Ovis aries: one gene and its partners. The protein of the gene in region 2 purifies or fractionates together with the protein of the main gene of each other region. This does not show direct contact. Links are inferred from orthologs where the notes say so. Each region holds a gene or a part of one and is shown on either strand. Other genes may lie near its edges.

What was found.
Region 1: the proteins of ESR2 (region 2) and SRRM2 purify together in Homo sapiens (affinity purification with mass spectrometry; 3 studies listed by BioGRID and IntAct, with this or other methods). This does not show direct contact. The link is inferred for Ovis aries from reciprocal best matches to the Homo sapiens genes ESR2 and SRRM2.
Region 3: the proteins of ESR2 (region 2) and SURF6 purify together in Homo sapiens (affinity purification with mass spectrometry; 3 studies listed by BioGRID and IntAct, with this or other methods). This does not show direct contact. The link is inferred for Ovis aries from reciprocal best matches to the Homo sapiens genes ESR2 and SURF6.

Annotation. Positions count from the first base shown.
Region 1 is NC_056077.1:2,799,201-2,802,848, forward strand, and holds part of SRRM2 (serine/arginine repetitive matrix protein 2), read right to left. Parts: exon of another isoform or gene 3,455-3,648; intron 3,155-3,454; coding exon 2,965-3,154; intron 1,796-2,964; coding exon 1-1,795. UniProt on the Homo sapiens protein: Required for pre-mRNA splicing as component of the spliceosome. As a component of the minor spliceosome, involved in the splicing of U12-type introns in pre-mRNAs.
Region 2 is NC_056060.1:74,529,984-74,533,731, forward strand, and holds the start of ESR2 (estrogen receptor beta), read right to left. Parts: upstream 2,527-3,748; coding exon 2,174-2,526; intron 601-2,173; coding exon 428-600; intron 1-427.
Region 3 is NC_056056.1:2,705,164-2,708,811, reverse strand, and holds part of SURF6 (surfeit locus protein 6), read right to left. Parts: intron 2,781-3,648; coding exon 2,589-2,780; intron 1,986-2,588; coding exon 1,897-1,985; intron 993-1,896; coding exon 789-992; intron 674-788; coding exon 194-673; 3' UTR 1-193. UniProt on the Homo sapiens protein: Binds to both DNA and RNA in vitro, with a stronger binding capacity for RNA. May represent a nucleolar constitutive protein involved in ribosomal biosynthesis or assembly.

The DNA of each region.
Region 1 (3,648 bases), on a different chromosome or scaffold from region 2:
TAGATGTCATCCTACTAGGACTTGGAGAAGAGAAGCCAGAATGGCTTTGGACTGGTGATGTTATTGCCTTCACTTTGGGTTGTGGAGATGACGACCCAGATCGGCTCCGTCTTGGAGGTGTGCCAGATTTCACCCTAGAAGGAGAAGACCCAGAGCAACTGTGTCTTGAAGGGGTCCTAGACTTCACCTCAGGGTCAGGTGATGATTCAGAACGGCTCCGTCTCTGTGGCGTTGCAGACTCTTCATTTACCTGGGGACTTGTTACGGACCCTTGCCTTGGTGGTGTTCCAGACTTTGCTTTAGGTTGAGGAGATGAACTGGAATGACTTTGCCTTGATGGTGTTTTAGATTTCTGATTACCAGGCGGAGAAGAACCAGAGCGACTTCGTCTCAGTGGCGTTCTAGATTTAGCTTTGCGTTGGGATGATCCAGAACGACTGCGCCTTGGTGGTGTCTGAGACTTTTGTTTTGGGCATGGAGAGGACTCTGAAAGGCTTCGCCTCACAGACAAACGGGATTTTGCTTTGGACCTTGGTGAAGAGAGAGACCTGCTCCGCCTAGAAGAAAGCCGCGATTTCTTCATTTCTGGACTTGAGTTGGACCTGCTCCTTCTCTGGGATGTGCGGGATTTGTTCTTCCGCTCTGATGATGAGCCAGACCTGCCCCTTCTTTGTGGTGTTCTAGAGTGAGATCTTCCCCGTCTAACTAGGCTTCTACTACGGGATCTTCCCCGTCTTGCTGGTGTCCTAGACTGAGATCTCCCTCTCCTGTTTGGGGTTCTAGAGCGTGACCGGCCACTTCGTCTAGTTGGTGTTCTAGAGCGTGACCGCCCACTTCGTCTTGCTGGTGTTCTAGAGCGTGAGCGCCCACGCCTGGCTGGGGTTCTGGAACGTGACCTGCCACTTCTCCTGGCTGGTGATCTACTACGAGACCTCCGTCGTACAGGTGATCGGGTCCTAGATCTGCGCCTTGCAGGTGTTCTAGACCGAGACCTGCCTCTCCGGGCAGGTGTTCTAGATCGTGACCTCCGCCTGGCAGGTGTTCTAGATCGTGACCTCCGCCTCGCGGGTGTTCTAGACCGAGACCTGCCTCTCCGGGCAGGTGTTCTAGAACGAGATCTACCCCTAGTTGCAGGGGATCTAGAGTGTGACCTGCCTCGTCTTGCTGATCTAGACCTGCCTCTTCTCTGTGTATTTCTGCTCCTGGACCAGCCTGGTCGCTGAGGAGACCTAGAGCGGCCACGTCGCTGGGGGCTTCTAGATCGTCCCCACCTCTGTGCAGAACGTGACCTACGCCACTGAGGTGACCGGGACCGAGAATGACCTCTCTTGGTAGGGGTTCGAGACCGAGACCGCCCCCTCTTATTGGTGGTAGGACTACGGGACCTCCCCACCCTACGGGAAGGAGTATGAGAATGTGACTTAGCCCGTTTTGCTCGGCCATGAGAGCGACTCTTGGATGCAGGAGAGGAACTCTCTCGGCGGGACCCAGGAGCTGGTGCCGGTTTAGGGCTTTCAGGGGAAGAGCTGGCATGCCGAGAAACTTTGGTAGGTTGAGGGGATGGTGGGCAGCTCTCTGAAGAAGATTGGGGAGGTTTCTCAGGAGACTTAGGTGGTGAATGACCCTGGGCTGGAGAAGCCTCAGAAGGGGGGTTCACTGGCTCCTGACTTAAGGGGGTTGTTGCAAGGGGTTGTGGGGAGCCGCCATGTTGCTCAGCAAGGAGCAGAGTGGGAGCCGGTGGTTCTGGCCCTGTGTTGCTCCTTTCCGGAGAGGGACTAGGTCGAACTGCAGATTTCTAAGAGTGGAAAAGAGGGTAGGGGTAGGGATAATGTAAGCACCAAAACTTCCTATCATCTGTAAGGTCTCAACACCCCTTCCAATGAAATACCTTTTCCTCACCACAGGCAGTCACGTTCATTCAATAATCACACAGTACAAAATACAGTTAAAAACATATGAAAATAGAGTCTATAATAATCTCAAATCTTCTAATCTAGAAAAAACAATGCAATCTAATGTACTATTAGTTCACAACAACCACTGTAACATGCTGAATGCAGAAGAGTATTTTTAAATGTAAAGATAAAGCAGTTTCCCAAAGTGACTGACTTCACCCTTAAAAAATAACCACATTAAAAGGAAAAAAAACTGAAAACATGGCATGTGAACAACAAAAACTAGGATAAAGTATAGGAAAACACAGAAAAAGAGACCAAGTTATAAAAACCTTAAAACATAAGCCAAGAGAAATAGGAAGTAAATTATGTTTCTGAGGTGATCGAACTTGCAGTTTGGAAAATCAACTCTGGAGAACATGAAAAATAACAGGAGAGCTACAACTTTATCAAAGAGCAATTAAAAATATATTGTGATGATAGAAATAAGAAAACATGATTAGGGTCTGAATTAGAATAGCAAGTATAAACAGAGAAGGAAATGGCAACCCACTCCAGTGTTCGTGCCTGGAGAATCCCAGGGACGGCGGAGCCTGGTGGGCTGCTGCCTATGGGGTTGCACAGAGTCGAGAGTCAGACACAACTGAAGCGACTCAGCAGCAGCAAGTATAAAAGAAAAGGTATGGAAAAGATTTCCGAAAGTAGTTTTCAGACTGCAAGCAGCAACTCAGCAGACTGAGAAGTTTTAGTAAGCCACAACCAGCATTTAATGAAATAAATACTAGATACACAGAATAGTAAATGGCTAGTAAGTGTAAAGAAAATTTTTTGTTCCAAGTTTTATCTTACATTTACAAACAGAACAGTAAGGTAAAACCTATTTATTATTATCTAGTGAAGTTTGAAAATCACAATTCTAAATGATTTGCAGATGCAAAAAAGAACTTTATGAATACCAAGAGACAAATCAGAAACCAAAACTTGATCTTACTTTTTCCTTAACTTTGAACAGCTATCCTGAATCCACAGCCTTGCAACCCCAAGAACATCCATTAATTCAGGAACATACCTCCTTCTTGTCTTTGTCTTCACTGGGACTGCTAGGCTGCTTTGTAGAAGGCTCCGGACTAGGCTGCCCTATGCTGGTAGTACCTGGTTCCCTGGGAGGTACATCTCCCTCCCCTCGATGCCCCAAAGCAGGTGAAGGACTTTGTCCAGCCAAGGCAGTTGTATGGGTTTTAGCTGCAGCACTTCGAGACCTGAGAGAGGTAATTAAGGACGGGAAGAGAGAAAGAAAATCAGTTCAGGAGAGAACAGAAAACCCCCTCCCCAGCTCCCATCTACCTTTCCTGACTATAACCCTCCTCCAAAAAACCTTCTCTCACTCACAAGATTCAAATTACTCATACTGAAATTCAGGTCCAGTTCATTTTGCTCCTTCTCTTCTCAACATCAATCCCCCAAAAATATTCTCCCTCTACCCCTTCATATTTACCTCCCCCAAACCTCCCAGAACCCTCCACCCAGTCCATTCCCTACCCGCTTCATTCACAACTCACCTCTGAGCCCACCTCCTTCAGGAAGCCTTCCCCGATTAAGGAAGCCAGGGTAAGGATTCCTTCCTCCCCCAGACACCACGAACAACCACCACCCCCCCTATTCTGGCAGTCCATATATATCAGAACAAAACAAAAAACAAAATAAATAAAATAAACAAAAACAAAAAAAAAAGAGAAGGGGAAATGTATATGTC
Region 2 (3,748 bases):
CACTAGTTGAGCTACTGACTGCATAAAACATATTCTCTCTTCCTCAGGAGCCAGCCCACCATCTCAACTGTTACATATGCTAGATATTAAACATAAGTCAAAGGAAGAAACAATCTTCACAGTTCCTAATGGGCACACATTTTTTCCAGCCTTCACAAAGGTTATGTTTCCTCCTAGGAAGACGGCAACAGGTGATGGTGGTGCAAGATCCATTTGGGTTTGGGGGTAGAGATCTGAGTGAAAGATAAAGTACTCTATACTTGAAACAATCCCCCCACCCCCAAAGACACATGATCCTCTGAAACAGTCACCAAGTACTCTGTGTACCAAGCAGGCCAAACAAAGGTAAAATTTCTGCCAGGTCATCCGCAACATTGTTTAAAAGCAAAGTGGAAAACAAAAAAAGCAGCTAACAACATTCTTGTACCTTGAATGCTTCTTTTAAAAAAGGCCTTACATCCTTCACATGACCAGACTCCATAGTGATATCCCGACGCATAATCGCTGCAGACAGCACAGAAGTGGGCATCCCTCTTTGAACTCGGACTAGAAACAGGGCTGGCACAACTGCTCCCACTAGCTTTCCTTTTCAATGTCTCCCTAGGGGCAAAGAGAACATTCACTGTAAAAGAACATTGACGGTAAAACAAGGCCTTTCTAGAAAAAGGAACAGCATGAACATTGCCTCGTGTATCTCTTTGCCCTCCAGGCTTCATAACAAATATATTCCAAGAGATCTGATCAAGCAAAACCTTTGTTACTGATATCAGATCTATTAAGAGTCGCTCTGTTGGGATCGCTGGTGTCTGAAAGTGGATAGGTGAGTTTACACCCATCCACACAGTGTGGATGAACACCGATTACCATGGAGAACTAGCTATAGCCATCAATGTGTACATCTCTGTAATCAGTGACTACATCAAGTCTGGGTGGGAGCAGTAGCGAAAAGGGGAAAGCGAAGGAGAAGAGAAGAGGAGAGGGGGAGAGCATAAACACATGCCTGTCCCTTGAGAAGGCTCTGAAGAAAGCAGGTGTTCAATGCAGGGTGGAGAGGCTTACCACAGAGGAAGGGGGAACCCACAGTGGGCCACCGGCAGACACCAAGAACACACCGGGCTAGTTCCTAATTTTGCTACAGCATGTTTCCTTTGGAAAGGACATGGCAGAGGTATGATTGATGTATAAATTTAATATGCTGAGGTTTAATGTACCCAAATATTAGCAGAGCTCTGATTAGAACTTGTCCTCAGAAATAAGATATTTCTTCCTTTAAAAGTTGAATGTGAAGACATTACTTTTAAAAAGTCATCTACATTTTTCATATTCTCTTTTACCAATCAAAAAGTTCTTTAAAAAAGAAGAAAAATAAAATTAGTGTGTAATATGGCTTTCTCAAAGTTTTATGAATTTGAAAGTAATAAACTTCAATACCAAATATGCCATAACTTAGTACTTGGGTTCTTGTGTAAAGTTATGCCCCCTCATGCTTCTGCCTATACTAACTCTGCCCTCTGTAGCCATGATTATCATTAAAACTATCCGAGTTCAATCCCTGGTTGGGGAAGTAAGATCCCACAGCCACATAGCACAAAATATATACGTGTGTGTACGTATAACAAATTGAATGCAAATAATCCCTGATGTTACCTTGCACTTAGAGTTTCAGAATGTTCAACTAAAGTCCACATTAGTTTCCTGTCAATCTTTATAAAATGTTATTTAGTTCACTGTTTAAAAATTTGTACCACTGTTTGTCTTTTCACCTGTCTAGCATTTCATCGAGTTGTAATACCAATGGTTACTTTTATCTTGGACATAATTTGTCATGAACACTAAGTTGTGATTTCACTTCAAGATAGGAAGGCTCTAACTTGAAAATAAAAATTCCTTTTTCAAACTCAAATCACTTCATCAAGAAGAAAGTGATTTAAATTAAATATTTTCCAAAGATAGTCATGAAGTGAATTCTCCCCCACAACACAGATCTAAAAGCTCAACTTTTTAGTAAGGACTAGAATATCAGAATAGATATCCTAGAATTCAGAACATCAGATGTTCTAGGTGCTCTATGTGATAATGAAGACCTTGTATAACACATATCTTTCTTCTCACTAAGTCATAAAGCAATCTGAATATCGGCCATAATATAATTCAGAATGAAGACTGGATTTACCTGTTCACAGGGAAGGTGTGTTCTAATGATCTGGTTTCACACCAAGGACTCTTTTGAGGTTCTGCATACAGAAGTGACGACTGGCAATGGATGGCTAAAGGAGAGAGGTGTCCAGGAGTTGGCCACAATACATTTGGGCTTGTGGTCTGTCGACCAGGCCCATCTTCTGAGTTATTGGGAATACTGTAATTCATCACAGCAGGGCTATAGAATGTCACGGCTGAGTATTCATGGCGGCTCTCTACATAGGAAGAGGGTAAATATATGGGGCCTGGCTCCAGGGGTAGAATGGATTGACCGCAGTTATAGGAGACAGGAGAGTTAAGGCTAGATGGTGAGTTTTTGACATCCATGTCTTGAGTAGGTAACAGCTAGGAAAACCCCTTGTGAGAAGCACAAAAGAACATTATAATGTTCTCAGAGTCATGGACAGGTATGGCTGTAAAGAAAAAAGAAAAGACATTTCTAAGTTACAGGTACAAGCATACTGTGAAAAAGGTTGACACATTTTTATTACACACACACACTTATATGGACCCAGAAATACATCCTGAAAAATATACACACAACCTCAGAGGGGTAGGAATAAAAGGCATGGAATTCATTCTCTCCCTTCATTCACTTCCATAAAGCTTTTGTTGTTAACTATAAGAATTTTCTACCATGAGAATTTAATATAAAATACTTTTAAAAATTAAAAAACACAGGGAGTTCCCTGCTAGCCTAGTGGTTATGACTTTGGGCTCTCAGTGCTGTGGCCTGGGTTCAATCTCTGGAGAAAAAACAAACAAACTTAAAAAATATACGATTAAGTAAAAATGCCAACCAGTTTTTTTCCCCCTAGAAGTAGATAAATTCATTTTTAAATTCTTACAGAAAAATTTTAAAAACCTACCTCAAAGGGTAGATCAGTAAGCATGACTAGCATTAACAGATCTTCAAATATATCATGAATAGCCAATGATAAAAAAAAGGAATACATAGGCCAATGCACCTGTCAAGGATCAATTTATTGCCTCTCACCTTCTAATGCACTCTTCAATATATGTAGTGTATGTTCTATGGAAATAGAATTCCTTTAAGCATTTAAACTGAGCCCAGTGCTAAGCTTTCTCAGTAGAGGGCGCTGCAGGGACTGCAGGAGGAAGAGGCCGCTGTGATTTCTGGCAGGGGCAGAGGCTGACATGGTGGGTGAGAACAGCCAGTGGAGCCTGTGCGACCAGAACGAGATCCCACTGCAAACATGCAGCCCTGGCATGGCAAGAACCTTTCTGCAATGACCTATTCAGACTACGGCCTGAGGAGTTAGAGAATTTGTCCCTTGTGCAAGCTTCATCACCAGCACCTGCATGCTCTGAAGGCCTTCCGCTCTGGCAGGCAACTGGATTTCCAGGGCATGCCCACACCACCAAATGCTGACTGCCTGCTCCCCACCTGCAACTCCAGACCACTTTTGTCTGGGAAAACCAGTGGACATTTTAGTGGCCAAACTATCTTTTCCAAGGAGGTCTGAACACCCCCACCCCGCCGGTTTGTCCTTCCTTGGGTACTCTACCTCGGCTCTTGGGTGCTTTA
Region 3 (3,648 bases), on a different chromosome or scaffold from region 2:
CACAAGCTGCAGGGAGCCTCTGGTCTAATAAGAGGAGGCTGGAGCTGGGTCTGGGTCAGCCCCTTCCCCGGATGTGAAGGCTCTTCTGCACGGGGGTGCCTGAGCCTCAGACAAACCGGTGAGGGGCACGAGGCAGAGTCCACTTTCCACCGGAGCCTGCACCGCTCGGGACGGGGGTCGGGCAGCCGGGGCCTCAGGCCAGGCCGGCGCGCTCCAGGTCTTGGGGCAGGATGCGGCCCTTCTTGCGAGCCTTCTCCAGGCGGCGCTCGGCCTTGGCCGCCTTCTTCTTGCGCAGGTTCTGCCGCCGCCGGTCCTGCCGCTGCTGCATCTTGCCCACCACGTGCGCCGTGCGCTTCTCCCAGGCGCGCTGGCGCTGCGCGCGCCTCTTCTCCTTGCGCTTCAGGGCCTCCTGCAGCCGGCGTTCGTCGTCGCGGATCCGCACGCCCTCGGCCTTGTACAGCAGGTTGGTCCAGCGCATCTTGGCCTCGAGCTCCTGGGCCTGCCCCGCGTCCCGGTCCCGCAGCTCCTCCAGCCGGGCCTGACGCGCCTGCAGGCGCTCCAGCAGCTGCCGGTAGTTCTTGCCCGTCAGCGGTGTCAGGTTCCCCTTCAGCTTCTGCCTCTTCTCCTTCCGGCGCTGGGCCTTGCTGGCTGGCTCCTCCTCAGTCACCTCCACCTCGGGGGAGAGGGCGACGCGAGCTGAGGGCCGCTCCCCGCCCGCCCAGGGGCCCACTTCTGCCCACCTGACGGCAGCACAGGGCGCGCACACAGCCCAGCGGCACGGCGCTCACCTTGTTGAAGAGCAGCCCCGGCTGGGCCTGCGTCTCCTCCCCGGGCACCGGCGGGTCCGGCTCGGTGGCCTCCGCCCCCTCCAGTGCCTTGGCTGACTTCTCCTTTGCTCTCAGCTCCTTCCGTTTCCTCTTTTTCCGGTCGCGCTCCTGCTTCCTCCGGCGTCTTTTCTCCAAAACAGCGGCGGACAGCTCTTTGGCGCTGCCCTGTGGGGTGATCCCGCGCTCACTCATAAGGTTCTTATAACAGGGCCCCCAGCTTAGCACGTGCAGTCAGGTCAGGACAAGGGCCAGCGGGGTGCGGCGTTCCTCCCCGAGATGACCTGGCCCCAGAGTGCGCCCGAGACAAGGAGGAGGGGACCCTGTGAGAACCACAGCTTCCAGATTCCAGGCGCAGACCACATGCCAGGGCACCTCCCAAAAGGGGCCACTAAGTCCATCCGATGACCCAACAAGGGGCACCTCATCCTCCATCCAGTCAGACGGGGTAAGGGCAGGGGGCTTGGGGCACCGCCACCACCAAATCGGGAGGTTCGGTCAGGACAAGGCAGTGTTGCCTGTGCAGACCCCGGCGCTACTCTGAGCCCCGCCCGGCAGACAAGAGTGCTCTGGACCACCGCAGGAAGGCAGGGCCCTCGGGCCTGTCCCCCACGGCAGAGGCCTGGGGAGGTCCCCAGGGAAAGGAGGGGAGGCGACCCCACTCAGCACTCCGCACTGAGGCTGGTTCACGTCCTGGAGCGTCGGTCCCGAGGCGGTCCCCTCGGGCAGGTCACCTCATCTCAGGCCCTGGCTCACCTCAGGGCCGTCAGGACAATCAGAAGAACGATCGCCCAGGAAGTGCTGCTGAGAGGAGCCCGAGCCTCTCAAAGGCCGCAGCAGAGAAGAGCCAGCAGCTCAACGTGGGGGCTTAGCCTGCAGTGCCCCTCAGATGACACGAACGGCACCCGACCTCCTGCAGAACAGAGGTGCCAAGACCCTCCTGCCAGGCCTGTGACGGCCGGCAGAGCAGGGAGCCGACCTCCGAGAGCACCGGGGTGTCTCCTCCTCCAGGTGGGGTGGGGAAAGCCCTGCAGCTCCCGAGACCCCTGCCCGCCCCCCACCCCACACCTACCTGGCCCCGCGCCTCCTGAATCTTCTCATGCAGGCGCTGTCGCAGAACATCCAAGGCAAATAAAGAGTCAGACTCTGCGGCCAGGCCACCTGCAAAGAAGGATCAGAAATCCAGAAGGAGAACCCCTCCCGACCTTTCTGTGCCACCCCCACCCCCCCGGTGCCGGATTCAAAGCCTGAGCCTCCGTGTGCGCCCCCCACCCCCACTCCTGTCCAGTGGCCACTGGTGGACCTGCAGAGCAGTTCTAGTGAACTCTTCACCTCTTCAAGCTGGATTGGCCTGCGGGGTAGGGCTTGCTTGTGCAACACGGGCCAAACCCATCTCTGGATTCTTCCAACTTGTGCGGCACCCACCCACACCCAGAGGCAGCTCTCACGACATCACTTCAGAGACTTGAGGGCAGTGAAGCTCGGCGTGCCAGGCCTCTCAGGATCTCAGAGGACACGGCCATGACCCTCCCCGTCCCGGTTACTATATGACCTGGGACGTCTGTGCCCTTCCTGAGCTTCCCATCCACCCAGAGACCCTGCGATCTGTCCTCTGCAAAGCCTCACACCATCCCAGTGTACCTGATCGTGCTGTTATGACCGGAGAGGGCCACATACACACCTATCCCAGATCCCAGGGGGCCCTGCCTGCCTGCCCAGCCCCCTCACCCGCGGGGGCCCTGCCTGCCTGCCCGGCCCCCTCACCCGCCGGGGCCCTGGTGGAGCTGGCGGCTCCCTCCTCCTCCTCAGCCGCCTCTGGCTTCCTGGCCTCAGACTTCGCAGAGGCCTGGGCCCTGGGCTTTGCAGTCTTCTCCTCCCGCTCCCGGGGTTTCTTCTGTGCTTTCCTCCTCTTCTTCCTGGGGGGTGCAGCAGCATCTGAGACTTGAGTTTTGCCAGCTGAAACAAGAAACAAGAAAGGGCTACCACTTCAATCCCTGTGACCCAGTCAGTAGGTAAGAAGGTCCTGCAAAGGTTTTGATTCCAGAAGGATGCCAGAAGCCAGTTGAGATGGGAGTTGTGGGGCCCTTCATGTGAGCTCAGAACCACACACCTCCTGGAAAGCAGACTGGTCACACTCATCAATCCCTGAAGAGTGTAACACGCTGACCCAGCGGTCTACTTGTGAAATTCATTCCCAGTGTGCAGATAAATCTGGCCTCAAAGATATTCATCATAGCATCCTTTTTTTGAGTGAAAAACTAGGAAAACCTAAATATCCATCCACAGGGACAATGATGGCACGTCCCACAACAAATTATATAGCCCCAAACGGGGTATATTGTTTTGGGCTTCCCAGGTGGAGCTAGTAAAGAATCCACTTGCTAAAGAGATGTGGGTTCGATTCCTGTGTCAGCAAGATGCGCTGGAGGAGGAAACGGCAACCTGCTCCAGTACTCTCGCCTGGAGAAGTCCATGGGCAGGGGGGCCTGGCGCGCTCTAGTACACGGGGTCCGCAACGAGCGGGACACAACTGGCGACTGAAGACACGCGAACACGCTTTCACGCTAACAGGTGGAAAGGGAATTCTCCGACAGTCCAGGCAAAATGGTTGTCTGAGGAGGCCTTACAAATAGTTGAGAGAAGAAGAGAAGCAAAATGCAAAGGAGAAAAGGAAAGATATACCCACTTGAACGCAGAGTTCCAAAGAACAGCAAAGATAGCCTTCCTAAGTGATCAATGCGAAGAAATACAGGAAAACAATAGAATGGGAAAGACTAGAGATCTCTTCAAGAAAATTAAGACACACCATGGAAACATTTCATGC